Linked DNA regions of Schizosaccharomyces pombe. The gene in region 1 interacts genetically with each later gene. Each region holds a gene or a part of one and is shown on either strand. Other genes may lie near its edges. The genes, in order: xrc4 and rga3.

Region 1 (5,931 bases):
ATCCCGAGTAAAAGAAAAAATAGTCCTTGAATACAAGGATCCAGTTTATCCTCTTCTTTTATGAGAAACTGAATATACGCAGGGAGGGTTCTCCAGTTACTCGTAGTAGCGGGATGGTTTCTCGAAAGATTGGAAAGATTCTGTAGGTGAAAAGCAACTGTGTAACATAAAACAGCATCTACAGCGTACGCTTCGAAAAATTTTCCTTTCTTATCACATTCTTTCTTTTGCATTTTCCCACTGTTAAGAAGACGCATATACGTTTTCTTCAAAGAGGCATGATTTACTTCCGACTTTTCAGACAGTGAACCAGATGTTTTGTCAACATCAGCTGTGATCAGCTCTTGGGAAGAAGGATTCTTGTTTTTTACTTTTAAGCGCTTATAATCACCTAACGTTACATTGGCTTTTCTCTTGAGATTGCTGCTGGTGTTACCATTCAACGAGGATCCATTATTAACATTAGAATTTTCAGAATTTACAGTAGATACCATATTATTTATGGAACTGTTCGTGGAGGCCTTCTTTGATTTGTGAGCATCTTCAACTAGATTTTTTGAGCTCTTAGTGACTCCCATTATTACATCTTTTGAATCAAGGAGAATTGGAGAACTGACAGCTACCTCCCCTTCCTCCAACAAAGGTTTAGAATTACCTTCATCAGTAAGTTTGGAAGCGGTTAAAACCTCTGATGAATTTTTAAGCGTTTTGCTAGTACGTGTAGAATCGTTATCCAAGGGATGTAAATCGTTCTCTGCTAACGATGCTTCAGAGTCATCGCTTGCCATTCCAAACCCAGGAGGAAGCGTAGGGCTTATCAAGCTTGGCAATACCGCTTGGAATTTTGAATTCCCTACGGGAAGATGCATTTCAGGAAGAGTAGGAGTAATTGGAGATGGAAACTTTGGACGGGCTTGGTTGACTTGTTTTGGAGTAGATAATTCCTGTTCTAAGACGATAGAATCGTCCTTTTTCTGAAAGGAACCCTTAGGCAGTACTGGATGATGCCGACGACGAATTTGATTATCACTGCTGTCGTTGCTCATCGCATGCGCTGTATAAACTATTCAAATAAAAGTATTTACTTAAAAAAGAGATATGCTATGGAATTAAAAGATTTCGATTAGAAGACAACAAATAATGCCTATTATATTAAGAATTCGCGTCAATTAGCGCAATTACCGATAGCATGTAACTCGAAAAGATATGAAAAGTTTAAGAAAAGAAATCTTCACAGCATTTAATTTAAAAACAGTATGAATGTTAGCAAATTCAAATTAGTAACTGCGTTTCCAATAGCGAAAACCCGTTTGCCCACACAGCTAAGCATTCATTTATCCAAAGCCAAAAATTGCTAAATGCCGTCAAAAAAGAATATTCAAGCCTAAATCCCAGTATAAAATTACAACAGGCTTGGTTATAGGATTTTGGTGAAATTATGAAGCGTATTGTCGACAAGTAATAAACACGTTACTTCAGAACGCGCCCAACCTTGAGTAACAAATTATATATGTAAATAGTAAATTTGCTGAAGAAAAAGTGGATCAGAAAATAATAGCATGGTAAACACGATCGCAAACATGCTTCATTCTTTTGTACAGGAAGGAAGTGCTAGGCTTATAAGACATCTTTATAAAAATTCACCAACTATACATATTGTATTTATCTTGCAAGTGCTTTACCTATAGTAGGATTCCGTGTGAATATTTAAATTTAAGTAAATTTATTATTGTTTTGAAATTAAAGAGAATAAAGTTGACCTGAATACTGAAAAAAGTGTAAGAATGGAGAGGCATTTCGGGTAGTTTAACTTGAAGCGTAATGTATCATATTATCATTCCTTCCGAAGCTACTCAGAAACTGTTTCGCTACTTTCGTGGGACGATCGCCTATGTGAATCATCTTCACCTGCTGACTCGGGAGAAGCGTCTGCAGTTGGTGAAGCGCTCAATGCTTTCATTGGAAATTCTTCTTTTATCTGCATAAATTCATCAGAAACTGCAGATTCGTCAGTATCAGAGACTGCGGAAGAATTGACTCCCTCTTGCTGCTTTTGCTCGTCTGTCCCGACATCAGATTCATCCTCATAATTAATATGGTGGTTGTCTTCATTATCCTCGTTATTTCTTGCATTTTTAATCATATCTGCAAATTTCATTATAAGCTTTCGTTCCCTAGACTTACATTCTTCTTGAAGTTGCTCTGTATAAGCCATAAGCTTTTGAAGCTCGTTTTTTTGTTGAGCCATACTAGCAAGGGCAAGGTCCTAAATTTCAAATAATCAGCAAAAGAGAAAGAATGTAAAGTTTTTTTCATACCTTTATCGAATGGCTGCACTCCCACAGTACATCAAAATGTTCATGGTCTTTCAATGCTTGTTGTTCTAATTCAAACCAGGCAATACGTAAAGGGAAAGGATCAACGTAGTTGATATAAATCTAAATTGTTAGCATATTTAATTAATCAGCTCAAAAACGACTGGCAAAATGGGGTAGATGCGACGAACAAAAAAATTCCTTGGTTTGAAAGTCATCACACAATCAGCAATTCATTAACTACTACAGTATTGCAATAAACATACCCTACATAAATTCTCTAAAACCACTAATTGCAATGTGTGCTTTGATTCGGATCTGCCGCACAACAGATCCACGATAAGTTCATCGGTTAATGATTCTGAGGTTACGTTCCGTTGCAATCGTTTCCAAGGTATTTCATCTGGAAAATTAGTAAAAGAACGTTTTACACACTATCTTTCTATACCCCTTAAGACGTATCTACAGGTTGGGCTAATTGCGCACAAGAAAGCACTGCTTTCATCCAATTCTGAGCGTAGGACGAATTTTTCTCCTTTAAAATCTTTCAGTGATAAAAAAAATTTCATGAGTTGTTTCCTGAGCTCAAAATTTGATGTGAAACATCAAGGCGGTCTCAGTGCAAGTTTGCAGGGAAACGTAATAAGAAACTTGATAATCCAACTTGTTGACTGCTAATGTTTTAGTGTGCGCAGCTGATAAATTGGAAGCCGAATGAGTTTAAAATTTTAGGTTACTAAGAAACACTATCTTGAAAATTGTTTTTTTTTTAGATTTTTTTCATTGAAAGAAAAGAATCTTTCTGATTGAAAAATTGCTGATTCGGTGATATAACAAATCGTTTAGTATAATATAAGAGGTTTCCATACGAGAATATTGGATAAGAATCAGCGCAAATGTTTATACCATGTTTGTTAAAAAAAAAGAATTTCAAATTAAAGTAGTTAGCAAGAAGAAATTCGCAATGCAATTAGATGATGACTACTACAAGTTATTGAAAGTTTTTTAAAGTCAATTAAACTAAGGTGATTTCAAAAAAAATGCTTTCATCAATATGTGTTGGTTAACAAGGCCTTGTTTATAATATCATTTTTTCTCTTCGAGATTCAAAACTACATCGAGATATAAAACTGAGGTTTTTACATAAATGTAAAGGTTTATGCTCTGTCAAGGCTTTAGAGCTTTGCACAGAGACCACTGGTTATTAGGTACATTGCAACCTTACGAATAAACATTAATGATCGTAAAAAAAATATATAAGATACACCGAAACAACCTAAAATTGATTGCGAAGACTGAGTCCGTAAACCATATTTTCTTCCTAAAGCGACTTGAAAATCAATTAACCGCAAAAACAAATCAAATGGTAGAGTTTAAAGAAAAGCTAATCCTGTTTTTTTAGTAAATCTAAACCCAAGCTCGTCAAAAAATTCAGCATATTTAATCTTTTTTCTCTATTTAGCAAATGTGTTTTAAGTGCACTAGAATGCGTTATTGATTCAACTAGTAAACTGACTTTACAATATGGATATACAAGGCGTATGTAAAAAGATGAACCAGTTGAAGTTTTAAATGAAATTTTTAAATACTATATGCAATAAACACTTTATATGACCCAAGTATGTGTGACGGATATCGATGGTGAAGCTTGTCAATTCACTCAATCAATGTCAACCCAACCAGTGCGTCAATCAACTTGCAGTAATTTATAAAAGTTTTGAAATCTTAATTGTAATCTAAGTCGAAAGAGTTTTTATATGCTTCTGAAGTTGTAAACAATACTGAACATTGCAATACCAAAGGATCGCTGGATCTACAACTTTTATCTAATTAACGATATTTAGCGCTTACGAAATCTTTGAATTCCGAGTTATCGCTTCGGTTTCACAAAACGGCATATCGTCTTAATGGATTGTTACGTGACCAAATGGCGTTAATAGTGTAAAATTACATCCTTCAAAAACTTGTTGCTTTACCAAACTTGGTACAAAATGCTATGTTTACGATATTTTATTCCAATGCTTTTAGTAGCTAATGCTGCTCCATACTTCTTCTATCCGATCTTTATGCTGTCCATGATTGCTCGGAAATATCCATGGTAAGTTCAACAACCAGTTTGATAAACAAGCCGTCCATTCCATACGAGATTTTGACTAACAGGCTTCAGTCCATATTGCATGATTATACTGGGATTGTTGATTAATACACGCACTCTGTGGAGTGATTCAACCTTTTTTTCATTCAATCGAAATATTTTCGACACAAAAGCATTCCCTACGGAATTAAAAGAAGCCGGCTACAGGTTGGTTCGACTTTCATGGATTCGGTGGCTAGCGGGTAAGGAAAGCATTCACATTCCTTGGTTAGATGCCACTATTAAATTATAATAGTGCAGTCAGTCTTTCACTACAAAATTGAATCGCTTGAGCTTGATTCATAAAAAATAGGTGTGCCTTTTCATATTACCAACTGTCCCTATCTAAAATTTATTTACTTAACATACCGACTAAACAAAAAAAAAACCCTCCTGATTGAAAAGAGGTAAACACGGCACCCAAATTAAGACCCATCCAATGTAAACACTAAATGTGATTAAGGATCGTAAATTTTTTCACAGAAAAATAAATTTCGATTCAACTTCATGCACGTCAACCAATAGCAATGCCATAAATACTCCAGTGCTGCTTATTTATGGGTTCATAGGATGTCCATTTCCTTGAGGCTAATCTCTTGATCAAAATGAATCAGAAGTCAAACCTTTTATGCAAATATTTTATGTATGTCTTTTCTTTCAAGTTCACCTTTTTTTCTTCCCAAGTTTTTTATAAATATCAAAGCCAGAACTTTGGGCGTTAGCTCTTTTCGATCGGCTAGTAATGCGAGCCTTTGAATCATCATCATCATCATCAGTATCAGACTGTTGCTCGTTCAATTCATCGCCTACTTTATTCAATTTTCGCTTTAAATTGTCGTGGTTTTTGCCGCCTTCAATTTTTTCAGCTTCCTTCTTCTTCTGCAACTGTCTTTCAATCTTCTTCTTTAATGCCGGTGGCAGGCTTTTCAATTTCTCATTTTTGGAAGTAACCCAGCTGTTTTCTGACTGGTCTTTTCTACTAGCACCCAACCCTAACCGTGGCGGCCTAGCTTGTAACGGTGGATCGTCATTTTTTTCATCGCTACTGACAGATGTATTTTCGTTTCCCAACCACGAATTGATTAAGTTTTTTGTGATGCTTATGGATGTTTGATATTTATTCAATAACACATCCGCACTCACTTTTTGTTCCATGCTAAAATTGTGTTTTCGTTTGCAGCTTGGCACTTTACAAAGTTGTACTGCACTTAGTGTCTGCAACTTTACGAACTGTAACGCACCCTAAGGCACTGAGCTTTGCAGTTTCTACATTAGATTTTATTTCATTTCAGAAAGGAAAAGAATACAAATTCCTTTGTGACTCTTTGTCATTTTAAAAAATGTTTCCACCTTTTCTTATGAATCAATTTTTTGTACCCCTGTGCAATTTCTAAATAGACTCGAAATATATGCCGAATATACTGACATATAAACATAGAGGTTATATGGTAAACAAAATGAAATGTGTTTATTAAATACAAA
Region 2 (10,016 bases), 1.8 Mb from region 1:
AAGAAAAGAGGAGTTTAGGAAGTTGTGAAAGTAAACTTTTAAACCCGATTCTCTCAGTAATTATCGAGCCTACAACTCAACGAAACGGTGCGACAAGAATAAAAAATGATGGAACGCTATTTTTTGGTATGTCTATACAGCATCAAAAGGTTGAGAAAACGGTTTTTAACCGCCTGGTATTTGGATGATAATTTGTAAAATACGAGAAAAGGTATCGTAGAAAAGAAAATGCAAAATGAACGACAAGAGGTGGTTAAATATTAAATATGAATCGTGTGTATGGTCAAATGAAGGACTAAGCAGAGAAAAATTTTTGCACTCATGCAGATCCAGTTTCTTCTTATCATCAAAGATCCTGCACCTGCAGTATACAATCAATCCATCGTTACTGGAAACAATATAGGGATGAAAATCATGCAACTCCTTATTATTGACATTCACTAGTGATCACTATTTAATAAATAAACATTTAAAAATAATGGAAAGGGCAAACAAGAGTCTATGAGAAAGGGAAGAGAAGCATGGATGAGCTTTTCATTTTCCAAGTCAATGATGCAAAGATTTTTTACTGAACATAGGACGAACGAATGTAAAAATTACACAACGTTTAGATAGTCCATTATAGTGGTGTTATTAAGTTCTACAATGGTACTTTCAAAATAACGATTTCTAAGTATGAGTGCTAAGTGAATTAGCAAAATAAAGCACGAGTGTGGGAATTGTAATTTGGGAAACACCTTTTACTGCAGTAATTACAACTTTCTTCATAAATGAATGTACTGAAAAGAGGATACAAAGGAAGATGTTTGGAAGCATTAAATTTACTGACCTCAGTTATTTCAGGAAAGGAAAAGCAAGTTTTGATAACTGTAAAACAATAACATATAGTATACAAAGTAAAGTAGAAAAGGCGCTGCTCAATTAAGTAATTCCTACTGGACTTTCTCACGAGACAATGCTTTAAGCATACTTTATAATATAAATTGCAATGCTTTTATTAATTTTAATACAGATGAGCTAATCTATTTAAATGACTGTAATAGACTTTCACTTCAGTTTTTACTATGAATACATATATAATGTTTTGCAATGAAATAAAAAAGGCAAATAAATGTCAGCATTAGAAACAGTAAATAAAAATTAAAAATTGTTTAAAAAAAAAGCAAACGAAGGAATTCATGAATGTTTACAACAACCCCACGAAAAATTCACATGGAAAGTGACAAATTTGTGCATGGAACAACACAGTGAGCTCATCCACAGTGAATAAAAAGAAAGTCCAAATAAAGGTTATTTTCGTTATAATACAAAGATGTCGTAAAGAACGACGATCAAAGAAAAACAAGTGAGCAAAAAGGAAACTCTAAAAAAAAGAGAGAGAGAGAGAGAGAAACTCTCCGAGTATGTGTGTGTGTATGTTTGAGTCTCTTTTGTGTATGCGAGAAGAGAAAGACAGCAGGAAAATAAAGAAGAAATAGAAATAGAAATAAAAAGTCAAAACTATTTATTGTAGCTCAATGAAAGCCAGTATCTCACGCTGACCAAAAAAAAAATGAAAAGAGAAAGAGAGCAGAAAAAAAAAAAAAAAAGTTATTGAAAACAAGAAACAATCAAAACCATCTATTTCAAGATGACATGTATGACAAAGAACGCTAGTCAAAAAAAAGGCAATTCATACAAAGAAATAAAAAAAAAAAGAGAGAGAGAAAACAAAGGACTCCTATAATCATAAAGCAAGATTACCAACAATGGACAGAGATGGATAAAGAAAACCAATGGTGGAACAAAGACAAAAAAAAAAGAAAAAGTGGAACAAAACAAAATGCGAATCAAAGAAATTGAACAGAAAATTGAGCAAAAAAAACTTTAGTTCTGAGACAAACAAACAAAAATTTTCATCTTCTTTAACTTTTTCTTTCTTTTTTTTTTCTTTTTTCTTTTATGTTTTTATTTCTTCCATCCATTATTGATGTCTCGTTTGAATCCCTTTCTTTCACCCACCCCTCTCTTCCTGCAGTCTTTTTCGTCATGCCATTACCCCATCTTTTCAGGTAGCATCGACTCAGCCTTGTGACTCCAAGTGTGGGGAAGCGAAGGCGGAGAAAAAAGGGATTAGGAAGGGTGTCGATCATGACGCAATGCCATAACATCTCTGATGCACAACACCGTATTATAGACTGACTAAGCTTGCCGCGGAAATCAATTAATTGTCAAGAAGGCAGAAAAAAGAAAGAAAGAATATAAAACAACAACATAAAGCAAAAATAGAAAAGACATAAAAAAAAGACTGACCCTCTAAAGTCTTGTTTCCTTTTTGTTTTTCTCCTGGACAATTAAAACGACGCTTGTTTTCCGTGCCATACTTGAGACTGCGATACCACGGGATGAACAGCCTCTTCTAAACCAACCTGCCATTTTCTCTTCTTTTCCTTCATCCATCCATCAATCATACTTCGTCCTGCTTACTTGTGTGCTCCATTGCATTATCACCAAACCCTCCTCCTCCTCTTGGCCTGTTTCGTAAACCCACTTAACGGATCTCGCCGAGGTACACACTCACGGAAATATGCTATATGGGTGGTGGAAGTGAAGAGGTTGGCGCCACGATTGCAGTGGATGACGATGCTGGATAACAATGGAGTTGCGGGTGAAAGGACGAGTAAGGCACACTTACATTCAATGTAGCAACCCAATACGTATGACATTTGGCCACAGCAAGGAGATAAATAGAAGGTTGGGCACTAAGAGTGAAAATTCCATTCCCAAAATACAGTACATATATATTTCATCCTTCGTAATAACAAATACCGAATCGTATTCATATCCACCCTTATTGATCATCAGCGAGTCAAGCTAAATTACCCACCCACTGACAATCTAACAACAACAATAACAAAACAAACAATAACCAATTGAGTTGAAAATTGTTATTGACAGTCCAATCCAATCCAAATCCAAATCAATTTGAAATTGAATTTCATCCAATACTAATTGACTAATCGAATTTCTTCAAATCCACCGCAATGGCAAATCGTTTTACTTCTAGTGATCAAACTCAAGAAACCCATGGTCATCATGTTGACAAACACTCCTTCTCCGGTAGACAACGCCATCCTTCGATGGGCGTTCATTCATTCAACGAATACATGAATGAATATCCAGAGGCCGGACCTTTGGTCCAGGAAGAGGAGGATGACATGGAGAGCTCCAGCTACCATGCCACTCAGGAAGATATCGGCGACGATGACTCCAGGTCCGAGTCTACTCGCAACCGTTCCAGTCAACATACTGGCCGTGTTAATTTCTCGTCTCTTGGCGGTCTTGGCAGCATCTTTGGAGGAAAGAAATCACGCTCCAAGAGCGCTAATGGAACACAAAAGAAAAATGCAAACAATAACGAGGAACAACTTGATGAGGAAGAGCAAAACGATCCTTATCTTGATAGGGATATAAGCCTTTTAGGTAGTACTATTTGATTGCTTTTGTTTTTTTTTTCTTACTCCCTTGTAATTTTTATTTTTTGATTAGTCATACCCTGACTGACAATGTTGCAGATTACATTTAATTATGCCATCCATCCCCTTTCACGTTCACTGCCATTCATCCCTCACCATGTTCCCCATACCATTCTTTGAGATTTCGAGACATGATGGCACGACCGTAGTGTTTGTGTATGTATGTGTCTTTGATGAGTTGTTTATGTTGTGTTTATGTTCAAGTTATGAGAAACGAAATACTCGAACCAAATCGAGTTGAGTTCTGTTTAGTATCGTTAAAAAGAGTTTGTTTTCTTTTTTTTTTATCAAATTAGCATTATATTTTCCTTATTTTGCATCTCGCAATGCTTAATGGCAAATATCTTTATACAATCTCCATTTGCGTGCGTATTTATTTGTATCTGATGAGCGTGCGTGTGCTTGCCTGCTTGTCATAATGTACATCCTGTATTACCCAGTTTGAATAGTTCAGTCGTAAATGTAAGAGTGTTATGCTAATATCTTTGTTTTCCTTTTTTCATTAAAAAAAAGAGGTGTAAAAAAAGTCTCATTATTTCTTCGAAAAGTATTCCTTATTGAAGTTTGGAACACAAGTGGTTATTATTATCGTAAAGTTCCTTCTTCCCTAGAAAAATACAAGTTCCCCGATATTTTAATCATTATTCATAAAACAAGCTACAGATTATGAAGAATCTTATCCACGTTATCAAGCATAAACTGAAGAGCCGTACTCTTTTTGGTAGCATGCTGTAAATCAAACCGATTCACCTTATCTCGCATTAAAGTAGGTGCAAATACTGTAGAGACATTTTTCGAGTTCATCAAATTTTTCTCCGCGTGCTTGCATACACGACCCAAATGTGCAATCAAAAATCGAAATACGCTCAAATGTGCAGGATGAAGCGTTTTCATTACTTCCACTACCCGTTCAATTTTTTCCTCTTCCTTTTCGATTTTTTCCGCTTCCAACAACTCCTCGTATTGAGTGCCAGGTATAACTGGTTCCGGTAAGCGATGCAAATATGTTTTCAAAACCGACGTACAGGCAAACAAGTCAGAAGTCAAATGCTCCATTCGGATAGACCCGTTTTCAAATTCGTCGACTAACACTCGGACCTGAGAAGCACTGCCAGATATCCTATAAATACCTTCAACCTCCAATCCATGCGCATCCACGCAAGAAACGCACATAGCAATTACTTGAGGCAAAACCGACCCTTCAATTTTCAATTGATTTTCTAACGATCGTCCAAACATCGTTGGTGAAGGCCCAGGAGGAGGCATCCTCGTTGGCATTTCCGGCATCCATTTACTATTTTCACTTACAGTTTCACTCATTGTTTTCTCATGCTCCGACTCTGCAAACAGCCTTTTTAAACACCGCGAATGGCATGAAATTGAGCAATGAAAGCAGCGGAGTTCAGATCCCCATACGCTCTCCGAGCATATATAACACCTTGAGGGCTTGAATATGGCATTAACATGAAACACATGGTCACATTGAGTACGATCTTCATTTCCTACTACAGGATCGGCAGACTTTGATTTAGTATGCATTGATTTGAACGGGACTTTACGGTTTACATCTCTTGGTTGCAAATGCATACTTCCCTTTTTTCCCTTAATGTCAATTCTCGTAGTCACATTCAAATTTGGTGACAACGGACCAGGTCGACCTGATGACTGCCCAGAGTTGCTACTCACGGCAGTAAGTGGATTAATACTGCTGGTTGTATTTTTGGAAGATGTGGTAATAGTATGCTCCAAATTGGATTGGTTTTCAGGAGGTACTCTATGCTGAATTTGTTTTACCAAATTGTTGTTTAAGTCGGCCAACTCGAGATTTTTGGTATTTAGGTGTACAGATGCTTCAAGCGATTCATTTAAAATTTTTTGTACATTATTGTAATCGTCAAGCAGCTCATTTCTCCTTTCCAAAAGATTGTTTATTTCAGTGCCGTAACTCTCACGAAGCATTGCCATGTAAGCATTGGCGGCAGCCACCAAATCCTGATGTTTCGGATCTTTCAGCGTGGGATCATCTGTCACATCAGCAAACGAAAAAAACTTTTCACAAATTTCAAGTTTAGCCGAACGAACAGTATCCTTATCTTCCGTACGAATAAACTTAGAGTTGTCAAACGTAGAACTTGAGAGCCTTTCGGACAATTTTTTGGTAAGAGCAGTAAGATTTTCCAACTGTTCACGCAATTCTTCAACATCCGAATCTCGCTCTGATTGTGCTGGAGTTGAAGAATGATCGTTTGTCGGTAAATGGTACTCTCCATTAGATCCCAGCGAAGGAACGAGTGTTTGCTGAGAAGTCTCAGAAAGAGAATGCGAATGCCGAAAACTTTTATGGCCCCCGCCATTTGGTTTGGGAGAAAGAACCTGAGGCGGTGAAAGTAGCTGCGCAAAAGATGAAAGGTCAGATGGCTGAGAAGAGGTTTTTTTATGGGTTTGGACATTCGGTGAGCGGGTTCTCGGTGAATGCGTATCACTCGACCTGTAAGAGGGAGAAAAAGGCCGAAAGGGAGAGGTGGCATTGTGAAGAGAACGCATATGTCCATTCATGACAATTGGCTCTGCTCGGTCAGTCAATGACATGGTTTTATAAGGAGAAGCAGAGCCAGCAAAGTCGTCCAGGGCTTCCTCATTAATTGTGGGTTTTAAGCTGTCCGAGGAAGAGCTATCGTTAACAGGAGTAAAAGATTGTTTGTGAAACGTATGGAATCGATTCTTCCAAGTATTTTTGCTTAACGGAAATGTGGCTGTAGGAGACTCAATTTGTTGCTGCTTGTTAACTTTTTGTAACGGAGATATAGAAGGTGAAATAGGAAAGAAAGAATCGTCATACTTCATCGGCGATTCAAAACTCGTAAACGAGGAAAAACTTCGATTTTTGGCACTAGGCAGCAGCGAATCTGCAGAATTAGACGCAAGATTACTATCCTGTCCATCGTTCGGCACATTACCCCCTTCTGCCTGACTCATGTTAGTCGGTGTTTCGCTAACTAAGCGGTCTCTGCTTCCACCAAAAGGTGATAATGGTGGCTTTTGAGGAGACATAATTTCAATGCTTAAAGACTTATTAGATTCCACTGAAGACTTTGTCTCTGTGGGCTTAATCGTGACATCAACCTCAAAATTGTGATAATCAGCGCTCTCGTCTGAAGACCTGGAAGGGTGACGGACTTGTTTACAATCATTACAAAATATAGTCCTATTATCTCTTTTAAAGTTAGAGTCAATTATTTGCTTTCGGCAATCATGGCAACGAAAACACTCTCTGTGATAGGAGTCGTAGCCTGACATTAGGGCATAGTCCTTGATCCTCATACGACACGCTGTACAGGTATGGGCGCAAGAGCTACACACCGGTCGTCCATCAGAGGTTTGCACCAGCATTTGATCACTGTGCTCCAATCCTTTATCGCACTTCGTACAGCAGAAGCAATCCTTATGCCACATATGACCCCCAAACGAAATAGGTGTCTCTCTACGTTGAAATGCCTGTCCGCAGCGAAAGCATACTGTGCTTCCCTTGCTTGATGGAGATTTGGAAATACTTTTTCGAAATATCATCTTATCGTATATATGCTCTTCTTATTTCCTGCTAAACGTTATGAACTTCAATCTAGCGTCATGAATTTGGCTTTGTTGATTTTTATTTTCACAACGATTCCTTTGGGTACCTATTTTCATTCCTCAGCTTCCCATCAAGTAAATGAAAATATTCCCAATTTTATGATTGAAGTTCGAAACAATTGGTAAATGGCTAAGGAATAATTATTACTGCAGTTGTTGGCATCATTGCCCAGTGGAGCGGTGAGAACGGCAGTAGCGAGTCGTTCACTCTAATCCCTTAAAATTTGCATGCGTCGTACACATGGCACTATGGTCTTTGGCTTGCCTTGCCCTAGCCTAGCGAAACACTATGGAAATTATCGCCGTGTTCTACGATATGGTGCGTAAAATTGCCAAAAGTCACATGGTTTATTACGGGAGTTTAGACGAAACGGGTGTTATGAATAGCTATTAAATACGATTATAATATTACAGATAATTAATTTTAATGGGTTTGGCAGCGTTTCCGCTCTCTAGGCTTTTCTTTCCACTCAAAAATGGTGATATTTGTGAAAAGGGAAATTGCCGAAATTAGAAGGAAAAAGGAAAATGAACTGTTTTTCTGGCTTAAATAGCTTTACCTTTAGAAAAAACCCGCTAAAAAATGGTTAAAGATATATACATTCCTGATCAAAAAACACAGAGGACAAAAAAAAAGAAAAAATTTCGGTAGCAACAGGAGTAAACAGAAGGAGAGATGCTTTCTAGAGAAAAAAATTTTGTAGACGTTTGTAGCGTGAACGGTCGGATCGTCAAATAAAGGGACAAGAGAAAATGCTCGTTTCCAAAAAGTGTAGAATTTATAAAATGTGTATCTCAAATAGCGGGGTCGCTATAATTGATTAAGTAACTATTGCTTTTAAGAAGGAAGTAAAGGCTCCTAAAAAAAATTTTTATAGTTGTGGTGCGAATATTGGGACAATTATACGGAAGAAAGCAATCAGTTTTTAACAAAAAAAGTTTCAGAATATTGTGAACACTGGGACTCATCATTATAAATGGCAATAACTGATTGCTATAAAGAGGAAGTATTAAATTTTCTTTCTAGGAAAAAACAAACTTGGCAGAAAATGACGATAAAAAGAAAGGATTGCTATCCAACACAGAGGCAGCGCTAAAAAACAATTTATGTTTTTGTAAAGGCTTCAAGACTGTAGTTCGAAAATGAAGACATCTATTTTAAAGGGAGTGACAACTCCCAAGAAGAGACAGGTTTTGCAAGTTTCCTTTCAGGATCTTCTGTACTATTTGGAAGATTAGACAAATCATAGGATATTAACCCTACATATCCGCTTTCAAGTTCAGATACGACTTCAGCTGCACCCGGGGCATGGGAAACAACTGGATCCTTGTAATAATAACATATAGGTTGAACTTCATCATCACTATCGGAATGTTCGTCAATGTTGTGCAAGCTCTTGGAAGTTATTTTAAGAGTCGTAAACACGTCGGAACCTTTTAACTTGTCTTTCATTCGCTTTTGAGCCAGCAAATTACTAAGTGGTATAGTTTCAAAAAGAGCGTCCTCTGTCGACATCTCATCGGTTAAATGCAGCACATATTTCCAAACAAAGCTTTCGTAGTTTTTGGATTGAATCATGTCGTAGGCTTCGACGCTGTCATCAATTTCCACAAGACTTTCTTCTGCGACACTTTCATCCATGAACATTTGAGCATTATCAGGATACTCAGCCTGATTAACAGATTTCTTAAAACCATTGATGCTAGTCTCATCGGCGGGTACAGAATCTACCTTGCGCTTTACATCATGTTCTCCAAGGTTACCATCGCTTTCATCTGTCGAATGTTCCTTAGAATCAAAAAACATGGTGTTTTCGTTATTTTTTGTCTTCCGTGCTCTGACTCGTCCTAATTTCAGTTTTGATTGTCTTTCATCAGATTCCATTATGTGTATATAATTTTGAAATTTGAGACGTTTGTTTCTTTTGTAAACATTCATCTTTTGTCTAGTGGGTAAATACTTCCAAAATCCGGGTATATTGAATCGGTGAAATCGTAAAAATTTGCCTGACAGAACAACGTCTCTATTCTTGATAATAGGTTTTCTATGAAAGGCATTGTTAGCCTCTAGTTTCCTAAACCTAGACTCCGCCAAAAATATAGATGTTCCGATTAATTCCTTCAACTTGCTTTTAATGATTTGTAATAAAAACTCCGTAGCGCCAGCAGAAAGTGGATTGCTTGGAAAAGGCGCTTGTCGATCGAAATGATAAAACCGTTCAGAAATCTTTCTCATCTCATTTGTATCAAATAAATCCTCATTTGAGGTTTTGTTTTTGACACTTTGCGCATTATAGTGTGAAGTTTCAACCCCTGAGATATTCGAACCCTCAAGAAGTCTTTCCGCAATTTTTTCTTCCCAATCAATCCAATTCTGACTCATTTCCATTGCAATAGGTATATCTTCATATTTCAACAAACATTGACTGCGCACGGATGCGTCTACGTGATTACGAAGCCAACGTAGCTCATTCTCTAAGGCATTTATGTAACGCTCGATCTGCACAGCGCTTTTAGAAGGAATGGAGTAAGCTATCAAATCTAAATCTCTTTTCCCATTTCGAGCAACCGCTTGAAAAAACAGTTCTTTTTCTTCTGCACTCCAGTAAGTTCCATCCACACAAGAGCCACTAAGAACGCCCCATTGTTCTTCTTCCAAATCAAAGTCACGCTTATTTTCAGTCTCAACTTCGTATTGTTGAAGGACGTCTAGGTATCGTTCATCATGAGTCATGTACAATTGCTCACTTGAGCCAATGATAGATGCAGTGCTTAAAGGCGTTGACCCTTCACTCTCATTTAATCCGTTTATTGAAGAAGACATGTTATTATTGAGAACATGATCAACGCTAATGAAATAAAAGCTGTTGC

Evidence for each region.
Region 2: mutations in xrc4 (region 1) and rga3 together harm fitness more than expected from each alone (negative genetic interaction), as found in Schizosaccharomyces pombe (one large-scale study listed by BioGRID).

What each region holds. Positions count from the first base shown.
Region 1 is NC_003424.3:3,277,102-3,283,032, forward strand, and holds xrc4 (protein Xrc4), read right to left. Parts: upstream 2,939-5,931; 5' UTR 2,885-2,938; coding exon 2,764-2,884; exon of another isoform or gene 2,719-2,763; coding exon 2,582-2,718; exon of another isoform or gene 2,439-2,581; coding exon 2,319-2,438; exon of another isoform or gene 2,267-2,318; coding exon 1,850-2,266; 3' UTR 1,736-1,849; downstream 1-1,735. Other genes in the region: protein Ebp1, read right to left, coding at 1-1,046; SPOM_SPAC652.01 (BC10 family protein ), read left to right, coding at 4,307-4,413, 4,483-4,702; SPOM_SPAPB1E7.01C (uncharacterized protein), read right to left, coding at 5,113-5,604. UniProt on the Schizosaccharomyces pombe protein: Involved in double-strand break repair via non-homologous end joining (NHEJ); the repair of a double-strand break in DNA in which the two broken ends are rejoined with little or no sequence complementarity.
Region 2 is NC_003424.3:5,121,757-5,131,772, forward strand, and holds rga3 (Rho-type GTPase-activating protein Rga3), read right to left. Parts: upstream 7,278-10,016; 5' UTR 7,083-7,277; coding exon 4,173-7,082; 3' UTR 3,477-4,172; coding exon of another isoform or gene 3,024-3,476; 3' UTR 2,858-3,023; coding exon of another isoform or gene 2,636-2,857; 3' UTR 1,572-2,635; downstream 1-1,571. Other genes in the region: SPOM_SPAC29A4.22 (uncharacterized protein), read left to right, coding at 2,636-2,857; protein mug108, read left to right, coding at 3,024-3,476; RNA polymerase I upstream activation factor complex subunit Rrn5, read right to left, coding at 8,299-9,969. UniProt on the Schizosaccharomyces pombe protein: GTPase-activating protein for Rho-type proteins.